2 linked regions of the Mytilus edulis genome follow. The protein of the gene in region 1 interacts with the protein of each later gene in a pairwise test. Links are inferred from orthologs where the notes say so. Each region holds a gene or a part of one and is shown on either strand. Other genes may lie near its edges. The genes, in order: ubiquitin-conjugating enzyme E2 W-like and E3 ubiquitin-protein ligase MARCHF5-like.

The links.
Region 2: the proteins of ubiquitin-conjugating enzyme E2 W-like (region 1) and E3 ubiquitin-protein ligase MARCHF5-like interact in binary tests that used the Homo sapiens proteins (3 or more experiments, as listed by UniProt). The link is inferred for Mytilus edulis from reciprocal best matches to the Homo sapiens genes UBE2W and MARCHF5.

What each region holds. Positions count from the first base shown.
Region 1 is NC_092344.1:109,518,530-109,526,410, reverse strand, and holds the start of ubiquitin-conjugating enzyme E2 W-like, read left to right. Parts: upstream 1-4,756; 5' UTR 4,757-4,787; coding exon 4,788-4,802; intron 4,803-7,881. Other genes in the region: putative inositol monophosphatase 3, read right to left, coding at 2,865-3,030, 4,239-4,565. UniProt on the Homo sapiens protein: Accepts ubiquitin from the E1 complex and catalyzes its covalent attachment to other proteins.
Region 2 is NC_092347.1:53,783,414-53,791,013, reverse strand, and holds the start of E3 ubiquitin-protein ligase MARCHF5-like, read left to right. Parts: upstream 1-4,458; 5' UTR 4,459-4,855; coding exon 4,856-4,902; intron 4,903-6,919; coding exon 6,920-7,125; intron 7,126-7,600. UniProt on the Homo sapiens protein: Mitochondrial E3 ubiquitin-protein ligase that plays a crucial role in the control of mitochondrial morphology by acting as a positive regulator of mitochondrial fission and as an important regulator of immune response.

The sequences.
Region 1 (7,881 bases):
ATCATTCAGTCAATGAATTTCAGTTTATAACTTTACACATGTTATAGGACAGATGTGCTGCTTCATCAGATTAGTTTCACAAGATAATGCAAGCAGATTTAAAAGTACCACTTAGAGTGTTAGAAATATATATCATCATCAAAATTAAATATATATATTCAAATAACAAAATTATTAAGATTTGATTGGTAAAATTATGTAGTACTTAGTGTTATTGTGTAGTTAACAGAGCAGAGAAATTGTAACTGTCAGGAGAGCCTTGAAGTCATTAAACTTTCAAGTCAGTTTTTTGTACTCTTACTCAAAACTCAAGCAATAAAAATGTTGGATTTCATGTTTCGAGCATGATTTGTGTGCTCCGAGCACTGAGCAAAGTTTTATGACTTCAACCCTTGACCTCGAAAGTTCTGCTATCTGCTATCGAAACTTATTTGATTATACATTGTGATTGCTTGCATTTGCAAAGTACATGTATATATCAAACAATGTATCAAGTCATTGTTCCTTTATAAATATGTATAGACTGTTAATGTACATTTATCTTGCTATTCAGATTTTGAATCCTAAAGAATAAACTATTTCAGATAAACAAATAAAAGCTGTATATTTTAACAAACATAAAACTAAAATTTTCAGGTAAAATAGATTATAATTGTGGATGCACATCAGTATATATGGAAACAATTATAAAAATTCAAATTAGAGTTTGCATATTGAAAATTTGATTGATTGTTAATGGCCTTATGGTGTAACACCACTAATTCAGGCCCGGCCAGAAAGCACATACCAGAAAGTAGTACATATTTAACACAAAATAGTTCCTACGCATGAGTGTAACTTTCAAAATATGTAGAATATTTAGGTATTTTTGGTATCAAATGAAAGCTGAAGGACTGGTGATCATTGTAGAACACTTTTGGACTTTTAATTTTGAATAGTAAAAAAACTGCTCCAAATTTTAAAAAGAGGGTACATTTTGTCTGTTTGTCAGATCTGAAGTACCTGTTTTGGTACATCTGAAGTTCCGGGAACCAGTTCTTTCTTATATGCAATGTAAGGTATGTTGATTTTTTCAGTACAAGACACCATAAAGTGTTGCTTTGAAATGCAATGATTGCCACTTTATTTGAACTTAAAATAAAAGAGGTGTGCCTGCTTGAAACGGAGGAATTTAACATAGAAAGCAATGGGACCATGAATTAGTGGTGTACTTCCTATTACAGAGAATCACCAGAAATCCAATTTTTAGAAGTTGTACCTATTCCAATGAAAATAAGTCAAATATGATGTTAGTAATCATGTCTAATCATCTTTTTTGGGTCAACCGTCCTGCTTATGGGAAATTTAAGCTCTTAAATTGGCATACTCAAATATGTTAGCCTTTTATGGTCATACAACATGCATGCAGTTAAGACTTGACTCCAAGTTCTCATTTTTGCATTTTTTCTGATTCAAATCAATAAAACATGTATTTTATGACTTGTTTATGGAACAAAATAGCTCTTGGTCAAAATAATCACATGATTTTTCAAGTTTTTTTGTTTTTCTTATGGTAGCCTTTTACAATCTAGGCAAATGGTATATACTCATATAAGAATTCTTAAATCTCACTGTACATGCAATTTTGGACCAGTTTAGCAAGTTATCTAGCTGAGGGATATATAAATTGCTCTTATTAATCTATGTTTTACCACAGAATTATAATTCATGCAAAAAAAAAAGCCTTTTTTCAATTTCAAGAAAAAAGGGGGGATAATTTCTCATTTATGTCTTAAGTTTGGACTAATGTATTGTTATTTAATGAAGAACCTCTGATAAAAATATGACTAATAGTAAGCACATAGCTTTCCTAATAGAAATTAATAAATAAAACAATGATATTGAGAATAAAAAAAATATATTGGCCAATGGTAATATACATATGCAGTTTTCTTTGAATAACCCATATGTTACTACCAGTCCAATTTGAGCTTTAAATTAATAAAATAGTATTTGGACTAAGGCTTTATATGTTTTTTATTGCTTGAAATAGATCATAGAATGAAATAAAGTAATGCTCAAGTCAATATAGCAAGTTTGGTTCTGTTATAGGTGTAACACCACTAATTCAGGCCCGGCCAGAAAGCACATACCAGAAAGTAGTACATATTTAACACAAAATAGTTCCTACGCATGAGTGTAACTTTCAAAATATGTAGAATATTTAGGTATTTTTGGTATCAAATGAAAGCTGAAGGACTGGTGATCATTGTAGAACACTTTTGGACTTTTAATTTTGAATAGTAAAAAAACTGCTCCAAATTTTAAAAAGAGGGTACATTTTGTCTGTTTGTCAGATCTGAAGTACCTGTTTTGGTACATCTGAAGTTCCGGGAACCAGTTCTTTCTTATATGCAATGTAAGGTATGTTGATTTTTTCAGTACAAGACACCATAAAGTGTTGCTTTGAAATGCAATGATTGCCACTTTATTTGAACTTAAAATAAAAGAGGTGTGCCTGCTTGAAACGGAGGAATTTAACATAGAAAGCAATGGGACCATGAATTAGTGGTGTACTTCCTTATAAACACTTAATGCAACAACTCACAAAATGGCTATATATTTGTTTATTGTTTAAAAATCAAATTTGTAAACTTTCAAGCGTTTGCTGTATTTACCCAAAAAGAACATAAGTATACTCCTACGTATACTTGCATACATAGGTATATATGTTCTGTCCTGGACTTTAATATAGCACTAAGCATAAAAATAATAATATTGTTGAAAGGTGTTGTTTTCTTATATGTCTCTTATCTTATGTATTTGTATGTAATGTGATAATAGCTCTTTACAGGGCCCTTTAATTGGACAAAATATTGTTATACCTGTGTATTCCTTTGTAGCATCAAGAGGGTCGACCCACACTGTAATCTTTGAGTTTGATATTGATTGGTCACTTGATATTGTTTCTGCAACTTCTGTTAAATGCTTATTTGTGTCTTTTATTTCCAGTAAATTCACAGGTTTTAGATCTTTTTCTTCAGATATAACCTAAAGAGAAATATACCAAGTTTATGAAATAAGGCATTTGACACTTAAGCTAAACATCATGAACACATTTTGGATCAACGATAATCTTATCAATATCAACAATAATGAGTACTACAAGGTTAAAACAATACATGTATATATATAACAGACCAACCTAACAAACCGGGTACATTGTAATAAAGAAAAATATTGCACACCAATATAAAGAGTCTGAGACAGCAAAGGGTTCACCCTCAGAAATCATAGCTCAAACAGTGAGTTCTCATTACAGCATGCTTTGGTGCTGAGAGATATACAAAGGCTGTGAAAAGGCACAGTAAAATTGTAAAATACCTGGGGGACTGAACATGTGACATTATCCAAAAACCTTGCAAATATATCTGATTGCAAAATAGTACCTACATGTATGATTTATAAAGCATTGAACAAAATTCAGTATGAATGTGGTAGAGCAATAAAAGTAGTAAAGAAATATTATACACTAGAAAACTGAAAATAGTAGGCTGACCTACAATGTATATATCATAAAATTTTACTGACATACCATTTTTGGACCGAAAAATTAAAGAACCAAAGATAGATATCTGGGACCTTTCTCAGACTGATATTAAGACAGTGCTTAAAGGGTCTGTCAATAACACTACCATACGTCATTTCTGGAATCATGTTTTTCACTGGAAAAGATCGCCAATTTCGCACCCCTTTATGACGTCATTTACCAGATAGAAGATGTGTCTGTATCCCTGCCCTATTAAAAGTTTCCAGCATTATCGTCATTTTGTAGGGTAGTAAAGAAATCATTTATGTTCCATTAGTACATAATCTTGATTCTTCTTCTTCTTCCTTTATAGTACAGGCCTCCCAGGGGAGTATTATCGTACTGTTTTATGTACATGTTCGATGTGAGAACAACAAATGTGCGGGTAGGTGCGATTCCTGTACAAATGAGGGAGGGTGACCATCTTATTAGATTTTAATTTCCCAAATATTTTGTGTAGTATAAAATCAAACTTTTTCATCCGTTTGCTCAACATGAGTTGGAAGTCAGGATGCATACATTTTTGTCACGTGGCGATGGAAGTCACACGACAGATACATGTAAGTCTAAAAACTGTTTCCCCAAACTGCCTTATTGTAGGTACGAAACAAACCAGAACTAATAGACTAGCATTTAAGAAAACTATCATTAGGTCTTATATAATAACTACCTTTAGACCAGGGAATGCTTTTGCCAATCCATATACAATAGCCCTGTGCGACTGTGTATCTCCTTCAGTCTTCACATCTTTGACACCTTCATCTGTCTTTCCTTTCAGATTTTCCTGAAGTACATTACTAGCTAGTCTTACATCTTTTACTCTTTTGCCCCCTTCTTGTGCAAGCTGTATACACACTGATAACAGTTCTTTCATGCTAACTCTGGGCTCTCTATGGAACCAGTCGGGAAGACCAAACATGTACAAAGCTGCACATACACCAAGAGCTATAAATACAGCTCCACCAACAGGGTTGATTCTTACATTTGCAGGTCCCATTGTAGATCATAGATGTCGAGCTGGAAAAATAAGTAGAAGCTTGATGTAAAGACTTAGTTTCGAATAATATTTTAAACCTATGGAAAGAAATGCACGATCCACAAAATTAAGAAATCTAATTTTTATTTCTAATACTTTATACTTTTTATATATGAAACACGATAAAACAATAAATTTTTAGTTTCTTTTTATTCGAAACTAAAGGTAAACAGACAGACGATCATGGCTTCTATGGAGGTATTCCACTTTTACATTTCAGTCTTTTATTCGATATATGAGACAATATCTGAAAAAGTCTAATTTCCATGTCCCGCACTTCACCAGCAATTATTTTTTTATTCAACCATCTTTTTTGAAAATTTTAAGTTTCAGTATAAACTAAATTATATAATGCACCATGGCCTGCCAATTAAACACTCATTCTTATATTTCTTCCAATAAAATATTGTAATTTAAATGTTCAACCCCCCTAAAATCATGTTGTCCCCTGTGTTTTTTTGAAAACTAAATCATTCAAATAATATCCAAATTAATTAAACAGGCGTCCGATTCTCACATATATGATATATTATATAATAAACTTGCCCCTAATTTGTCTTTTTATATTATAACTATAGCATGTAATAAAATTTTGCAAATTTTAAGAGAAAAAAAATTTGTCCCCAGGGCTGATTTCCCTCCTGTTACCACTGGGTTTTTTTTACCTGTGGAAACATTTACAAGACCAAGAGTTATTTTCCCATTATGTATTGTGCAGAGCATCATTTCCTGAATGCATTAGTACAAAGAAATAGTTGGAAAGGCGGCCAGGTTTGAAAATTCAAGCCCATCCAAGGTAAGAATTTATAGAAAAATACTTATTGGTGTTCTATCCTGTTACAGCCTTTTCTTACACTTACTGAGAATATTTTTAAGTGTGCACCACAGCATTAAGTGTGTTTTTATATCATCTTTTTAAAAGTTATATGTCACAGGAAATACACTTACATTTAATGTGATAAAAAGGACAAAAACTATCGCGTAATTCCTTTCTGTTACGTTCTGTCATGTTACCTGATAAAAAGTAACAGCATAACCATCATCAGTAACAGGAAGGATGTTCAAGACAATTTCACTGACAATCGAAAAGTTAATCTACTATATGCTAACCATTTTATTTAATATAAGTTATCACCACCATATTAAATAAATTTCTAAATAATATACAGTATATTTAATAAAAAAATAGGTTTTTTGCTTTTGATAACAGCAGAGAACATTGTGCAATTCTAGTTTAGTAAATAGTAACAGAAAGGAATTTATTTTAGAATTTTTCCTTACCTAGGCAGATTTTTCATCTTGCAAATACAGTTTCAAAGGATAAATCACATTGTTTGCTGTTATCTTCCAATTGTGACCAATTTAAAATGATGTATTTTTCTTAAACTTTAAAATAAAGCAGAAAAATCCTTTCTGTTAACAACTCTGTCCTGTTACCGTTGTGCTGTTACTCAAGATTCTTTCATGTTACCGACATATCTGACTATATTTAAGTATATTTCTAAACCTTTTGTATTGCAAATGCTAAAATAAATAATTGGCATTTGATAAACTCTTGCAGGATATACTAGTAAACCACAAATATTGTCTTAAACTTATTCATTATTCCCATTAGAAACTTTTTAAAATTGATTCACTTTGGTAACAGGAAAGAACTGGATTTGTTTTGTACCATTTTTGAAATAGCCATTGTTTCCTTATAAAACAATTTTTTGAATTACAGACAACAGTTCCTAGATCCCCAATGTGTGTTCTTCAATTTGTGCTATTAAAATACTGGGTCTAAAAAAATTTTTTTGGTTTTTTCTTATTTCCAAAAATTAGACTTTTTCAGATATTGTCTCATATTAATAATGTGATGTGCATTATGAAACTTGTGGTTTGACTCATATGTTTAAGTATGAAATTACTTCTACAACAAACATGACACAAAGTTTGTTGAAGTCGTGTATAGTAACAAAAAAATTACTTCCGAAAATGCAATATGGAAATGATAAACAGATAAAAAAAATATTCATAGACATTTTTATTTAGTGTCCTTCTTAAATACTAATAACAGTTACATTAGAGACTTTCACTAATATTTGGGATCTCCTGTAGTTGGTGATCGCAATACTGGTATACCAGTATTGTCCATAATACTGGTATAAAAATTTTGTACCAGTATTGTTACTTTTTATTAAAAAAACAGCAATACTGGTACATTACTGATATACCAGTATTGTAGTTGTATTGTTGATTAGACTATATTGAAGATCAAAGGGAGATTAAATGGAACTCAAAAAGATTATAGAGGATAATTGTGAAATCAATTAACAACCAGTTAAAAGTCATTACTATACTGTACTTGCACAAATAAACAAAGGATTATTGAAATTAACTCATATCATCATTATTATTTAAACAATTGCTAATAATTTTATCATATTTCTATATTTTATTTTATTTAATATAGATAAAATAAAATAAAAGCTTATTATTATCTGAGCAATACTTTAATAAATTCAAGCAAATTATTAGACTCTAACACTGTAAATTCAGCATTTACATGTATGCCATCACATATTTTGACAGATATTTTAATACATGTATACATTTTTAGTGTACTAAGATCATATGCATTTGTTTGTCTTTATTTTCTTATTAATCTTTCACAACAAAAGATATCAATATAATTCATTAATTATAAAAAGTTGCTTTATAGGGGAACCTTGTTATAATCCAATTAACTAGTTTGTCTACATAAATGTTAAGGGTTGAAGCAATTGATTCAGAACCATGGACAATACAATTAGTAGCAGATACATGTATATCTACTGGTACAAATACTAGACCAGCATTCTGACAGTTAGAGAGCTATACAAATGCTATCTGAAATAGCTTGTAATCTAGTAAGCGTTAGAGAAAGTCCACAGAGACTGAATACCTAAATACCAATATAGTAAGGGGGAGGGGTTGCATAAATCACATCTGAAGAAGAAATACCAATGCTGATGATACAGAAGCTATAACAGCATTAATGTCAATATAAAATTCACTAAAATATACTACATGAATCTTGGAAAGAGAGAGCTGAAAGAAAACATAGAAGAAAGTACAGAGTTTGTTAAAATGCTGAGACAGAAAGGTTAAGAAAAAAACATCAGAAGATTTAAAACTTTATTTGATGACAATCACAGTGTACCATCTATGGCATCATCAGTTAAACACAATCATTCCTAATAAAATTGTCATGTCATATGTTAATTTCATTATGCATATATGTGACACCTTTAAC
Region 2 (7,600 bases), on another chromosome or scaffold:
GAGACGGAGTCGAGGTGCTGATATGGGTCGAGGGATGATACCCAGGCTGATATGGAAAAGGCCATGTATTAATCGCTTTATCATATACTTCCGACAATAGTTTTATGTAAGGCAAATGAATAAATGCAATAACTAAAACAGTCAAAAACTTTATAAAGAAGTTAAATTATGAATAAAATATACTATAATTGTTCAACAACAGCAGCACTATACCTCCTTATATAATAATAGTAACATTTCCTATAGAGGCATTTTGAAACATTGAAATTTTGGAAGAGTTTTATGATCATTACTACTCCATGTTTGTTGTACTATAAAATGATTCATAATTGTCATTGGCATTTGTTAGCAAGTACTAAACTACCCCACAAAAGTTCACGTAAATTTTGACGTCGTCATAAAAAATATCTGACGTCACAATGGAAAAGTAAACAACCGATACCGGAAACACCGGAAGTAACTTGCACGAGAGGCACTGATATGGGTTTTTTGCACGAGAGGCACTTGATATGGGTTATCAGCCCGGGTGGGAAGATATGGCTTGTGCACTTCCGCCCATTACACATATGCAAAAGCTATCATATTAATGCTAAGTATATGATAAATATAACTATAATAAATCATTTATAATTCCATTATTTAAAAGTGGGGATCATCTTGATCCTTCAAACTACAGAGGAATTTCTCTGATGAGCTGTCTAAGTAAATTATTTAATATGGTTATAAATTGTAGATTACTTACTTTATTTGAAAATAATATATGTCACCATCAACTAGGCTTTAAGAAGAATAGTAGGACTTCAGATGGTGTCTTTATTGTAAAGACTCTGTTTAATAAATATATAAATTATAAAAAGAAAAAGATTTATGGTTGTTTTGTAGACCTAAAAAAGGCATTCGATTCAGTGTGGAGGTTAGGTCTTTTGTACAAAATAACAAAAAATGAGAAAATTGGTGTAAAATTTTACAATTTGATAAAAAATATGTATAAGAATACTGAAGCTTCAGTAAAATTAAAGGAGAATATATCTGAATATGTCTCTATTGATAGAGGAGTGAAACAAGGGGATAATATGAGTCCAAACTTATTTAATGTTTATATAAATGATCTACCAGAAATATTTGATGAAAGTTGTAAACCAGTGACTCTGCAAAATATGTCAATCAGCTGCCTTATGTTTGCAGATGACATTTTGTTATTATCTGAAACTCCTGAAGGTTTACAGAACTCTATAAATAAACTAAATTTTTATTGTAATAAGTGGCAGCTCACAATAAATACACAAAAAACTAAGATAATGGTCTTTCAACAGAAAAACATTTTATATAATAAATATGATTTTTACTTAAATGGTGACAAACTAGAAAAAGTTTTAAAATATAAATATCTTGGAAATATAATTGAAGCATCTGGGAAATTGACTTCATCACACACTGAATTGGCTAAGAAAGGTACTAAAGTTTTGTTTTCTATTTTTAAGTATCTTTCTCCTTTAGAAAATGTGTCTATAAAAGTATACAAAAAATTGTTCGAATCACTAGTTAAACCTATTCTTATGTATAACTCTGAAATTTGGTATATGGATTTTTATGAAAAAATAATAAGAGCTGAAAAACGGGCTCAAATTAAGGACATGAGTAAATTTGATATTTTGTCAATGATTGATAGTAGCCAAGTGGAGAAGACACATTTAAAATTTTGCAAATATATACTTGGGCTTAGTAAACAATCTGTCAATATAGCTGCAAGAGCAGAACTAGCTCAGTATCCCATAGATGTCTTTATTAAAGTACAATCATTGAAGTACTTAGCAAGAATTTCTAGTGATGAAAATAACCCTTTATTATATGATGCATTTTGTTTATCTAAATGGCTTAGCACTAACGGTATATTTTCATGGTTTTCATATGTAGAAAATATAGCCAATGTAAATAAATTAGGCATAAATAAAATTCAGGATATAAACTATAAACAAGAGAAGAGGTCATTCTCAAAAAATATTAGAAAAGAACTTAAAGATAGCTTTGAAAATATTTTCTTTGAAAAATTAAAATTAACTAATGAAACCAGTAAAATATTCTTGTACAGTAAAATAAAAACAAAATATGAAATAGACAAATACATTTCTAAAAATAGTCTTGAAAATAGAAAATTATTATGTAAAATGCGAGTAAGTGACCATTTCTTGGAAATAGAGAGGGGTAGATATAAAAGAATTCAAAGAGAAAATAGAATATGTAAACATTGTAATTTAAATGCGGTTGAAGATGAAACCCACTTTTTCTTAAAATGTAAAATTAATAAATCTTTACGTAATCAGCTTGAAAAAGATATAAATAATATATGTCCAGAATACTTTAATTTGTCTGAAACAGATAAATTACAATTAATTCTATCTTCATTTGATATTATGCAGCTTACTGTTCCGTTCATTAGAAAGTCATTTGCACTGAGGGGAGTGGACACAACGCCTGCATAAATATTACTGTTTTACCACTTTATATATGATGTTTGATATGTTAATTTTTCTATTGTGTATATTGTATTGTATTGTTTGTATATGCCTTCAACCCCCAGGGGTATAAATGTGCATTTCATTAATAAATAAATATATAGATGAAGAAGAACTGTAAAGCTGCATGTGGAAAGTTTTAAGGCAGTTATATCGCGCGACTAGATTCATCAGTGGCACCCACACATTTCCTGGATAAGTTTTACTCAGTATTTTGAGGTTATTTCCAGTATTATACAGATACAGATACAGAGAAAATGCTTTATTCCCATAAAATGGGCTCACAAGGAGCATAATATAATATCATTATAATATTAATTTATCATCTTTTACAAATATAATAAACAATACAGTATACATAGTTACAAACAGTTTTCACATATTACTAGTATATATGTTCCAGACCGTATGAGTATTTGGACCGTACGCGTACGGTCTGGACCGTATGCGTACTTTTTCGAAATACTCATACGGTCGGACCGTACGCGTACGGTCTGACTAATATCAAGGAGTTGGTCAATTGTACTAGATACAAATACATATAACAGATCAACATAACTTAACTCTCAAATAAATAGAAAAAAAATCAATTGTAATTGAAATAAAAACTTTACATTTTAACTATTTAAAAAATTCACGCTAATTAAATCTGTAAATCTCTAGTATTTAGCATGTAGATCAGTCATACATAATACACTAATTGAATTATGACAATTATTCTCACTGAAATTGAATGCGAATAATGTGGGAGGACAATTGCTTTAGAATATTGAGCAACTTTTAAAAAAAAATGCTAATCGAAAGGAACATGCATGAACTGAAAAAATGTAAATATGAAAAATATACTTTTGGTAGCGAGTGTCACCTTTGACGAGAGTTTCAAAATAGGATTCAGATATACAATTAAACAAATATCTAATTTAAATTGTTAGGTAGTTCATTTTATCCATCTTATCCAATAACATGTATGGTCAGCTCATACTGGACCATACGCGTATACTCATACGGTCCGACCGTACGCGTATGGTCGGACCGTACGAGTATACGTATACGGTCTGGACCGTACGCGTACGGTCCAAATACTCATACGGTCTGGAACATATATATAAAACCTTCGTCTCAGGCACACCTCTAGAAAGCCAGTAACAAAAAAGTTAGTAGGCTAAATATATCTAGCTGAACTGCAGGAGGCACCAAGGGACGGTGCTATATTGCATGGTGGGTGCATATTAAAATGTGTATCGGGAAATTAATGATATGGTAAGATATTGTAAGAAGTTGCACATAACTGGTATGATCTGGTATGTCATCCTCGTGCCTGGTGCAGAGGAGTCAATACTATTTAAAGTGACACAACTGCAAGAGGCACCAAGGACAATGCTAATTGACATGCCAAAGTGCACATATTACCAGAGACATATATGTGTATATATGTCTCTGATATTACGAAAAAGATAAAATCTTACCAGTTTAATAAAAGATATCACAAACAGAAAGGTAATAGAACTTATACGATGAACATATATCTATGTACCTTAACCTCACTTTCAGGTCAATATAGAGATATTTTTTTCTGAGAAAAGTTTGCCGCAGAGACATGTGCCTGTGAATACCGGCATAATATTTTTTCACAAAACGCCATTATATTGACATTAATTGCTATTTAAAGGAATGTTTAAGAGTATCTCAGAAAATAACAAGTTTCATTCAAATTGGACTGGTGAGTTTAGACTCGGTTATCAGTGTCCGAAAAACTGGAAAATCCCTCTTTTTAAAATAGGATAACCCCCCATAACTCTGAAACGTAAATTCTTAGATCAGGAAAATCTAAAATTAAACCGATAGTTTTTAAGTGTGTTATATGAAAATAGACTATTGATATAGAGGTTTAGTCTTTAAAATTAAAATAGTTGAACATGTTAAACGACGGTGCTCCTAAAAGCAGAGGAGGAAGACACATAAGAACTGAACCTAGTGTTGCTACGGACTTCCGGTTCATTTTTCTGAAAATATTCTGCGTGCTACTGTCTTTCTTACCTGCATATTGCAGTCAAACACTTAAGAAACCTTAGGAAACGAGAGGAAACACATTTTGGTTTCAGAATTCCATAAATTTGCGTAGAAATAATGTCATAAGCCGATAAGGGGAAGAAAGATTGAACTTCTTCCATCTGCAGTGTCAGAGACTGCACATACGATAATTTGAAGTTTTTTCACTGATGTTGATCATACTTCTGTCGTAAATATCTCTGAATTGTGACTGAAACTTACTGAATTTTGATTTATAAAACCAATCAAACTTATGTTCCTGTGATTAAAAATGCCTTGACTCTGATCTGATTATGTCGTCTGTTGCTAAACTATACCACAGATTGTCTGAGGAAGACAGGTAATGTTCTGAATAAAATGAAACCTTACTCTTTACAGGGTGTCTCATTGAGGGGTTATGATCCAGGATTCCACTTATTATTTTGTCAGATTTCTGAATTGCACCTTGATTTCTAATGCCTGACTTTGTTTCCTTTTTGTATAAATTATGCACAACAATTTGACTAATACTAATTTCAACTACCTGAAAGTGCAATCCAAGCCCCCACAACAGACACCTTCTGGGTCTGTGTGTGGCAGTTCCTGGCGTAACTATTGATACCTGATTTTATACCTGTACAGTTGCTGCACACATCATATAATTTTATTTGTTTTTGTTCCTGTAAATACACAAGGTTTTGTTTATTTTCACTTGGCGTGTACTGGTTGACACATGCGCACAATATATCTGCGTTATGGAAATTTCAACTGCAGATTAACCACATAGAAGTAGAAGAAGTAGAAGTACACATGTAACACTTACATTAAATCAGCCAATCCCCTGTCACACTGAGATCAACATTATATGTAATGTATGGCCTTATACTTCAGACAAGGGGACTGTATTTTAAGGTAACATTATATCAGGGTGTTTCAGTCTCAAAAGAACCACCCCAGTTGATCTAGCTAGATAAATGAATAATGACATTACAAGTTTGTGAAGTTTTAGATTCTAGGTGGGCACATTTGCATTGTGATTCTATTATGAAAATTATGTTAAAAGTTTAAAAGTCGGTCTGAAGACAGAAAAAATATCCGAACACTTTTTTTTTGTTTTTCTCCCAAAATAACCCAAACTGAATAATCATAAGAATGGATGAGAAATGCGACTTTGCATGGTACCTATAGGACACAGAGTCATGATGATTAATATATATGCTGAAGGAAGAGAAGCGACACACAAAATGAGGTCTTCTCGTTTAATAGTATAGATAACTAATCTAAGTTCTTTAACTACAATTATTCTGTGTCTGACCTGTATCAAGCACTTATAATTTTGTCCATTGTTGCCTCAACTGTTCAGGGTTGGACCTTTGCGGTCGTATCTAGCTGCTGTCAGTGAAGCAATCTTTTTAATTTGTATTTTTAACCGGATTTTTGTGACAAAAATGTCGGTTATTGATTTGGGGATGTACGGCGGGCGGCAATCAAATGTTGTCTGTGCATTAACTCATGAACCGTTCAATCAAAGCTTTTAAAATTTTAATATTTTATTACTGACAACTATACGAAGGTCAAGTTAAATAATGGCGATTTTGACTTTAACCGTTCAGGAGTTATGGTTCTTGAAAGATTGAAAAATGGTGTTTCCCGTCGTGTCCATGCATTTTCTCATGAACCATTCAACCAAAGCTTTTGAAATTTTAATATTTTTGTTACTGATGACAAAATAGAGGTCAAGTTCAATAGTGACGATTTTGACTTTTACCGTTCAGGAGTTATGGTTCTTGAAAGATTGAAAAATTGAGTTTCCAGTCGTGTCCGTGCATTTATGCATGAACTGTTCTACCAAAGCTTCCGAAATTTTAATATGCTGTTACTGATGACAAAATGGAGGTCAAGTACAATAATGACGATTTTGACTTTTACCGTTCAGGAGTTATGGTTCTTGAAAGATTGAAAAATGGTGTTTCCCGCCATGTCCGTGCATTTTCTCATGAACCATTCAACCAAAGCTTTTGAAATTATAATATGTTGTTACTGATGACAAAATAGAGGTCAAGTTCAATAATGACGATTTTGACTTTTACCGTTCAGGAGTTATGGTTCTTGAAAGATCGTAAAATGACGTTTCCATTCACGTTGTTGCATTTACTCATGAACCTTTCAATCTAAGCTTTTCAAATTTTAATATGTTGATACTGATGACAAAATGGAGGTCAAATTTGATATTGACGATTTTCACTTTCACCATTCATCAGTAATGGTTCTTGTGATATTGCCAGGACACAAATAAATGTTAATAAATCCGGTTTGCTGTTGTTGTGACAGCCTCTTGTTTAAAGTAAATTATTACATCTGTATTATGTATATAACAGGAGATCATGCTGGGTGTGTTTTGCTACAGATGAAGATGACATGGAGGCAGGTTGGGTCCAGCCATGTATGTGCAAAGGAACAACAAAATGGGTCCACCAATACTGTCTTCAGAGATGGATAGATGAGAAGCAAAAGGGAAACAGTACTGCCAAAGTAGCTTGTCCACAGTGTAATATGGAATATATCATTTTATTCCCTAAAGTTGGTTAGTATAGTAGAATACACTCATTTGCCTGTTTAATGTGAAAAAGATTTGTGGAAATTCAAGTATGTTAAAAAGAGTTACCCTGTTATAAACTTAGTCCTTGTTATCCCCTTTTCTGTCTCTCAGTTCTTCCATCCATCAACAAAGTTTTTAAAAATAAAAGGAAAATTTCCATTGTTTGTTTTGCTGTAAGTTTTTGAAAGTTTGAAGGGTTAGAGTAAAAGGGTGCCTCAAAAAGTGTTCAGCACATGATTTTATCTATTGACAACCAGTTTTGGAGTTATTAACCTCTTTTTTTCCTAATTTGTCTGTTTTCTTAACATTACAGGATCAAGGTTATGCATTTTTTTGGCAAAATGGATCAGTTGAACGATGATAAACTAAAGTATGTTCATCCTAATCTGGCAATTTTTTCAATACAGACACAGATGTGTCCTCTTGATTCGCTAAAGTGCGTTGCCAACACACGCTAAAG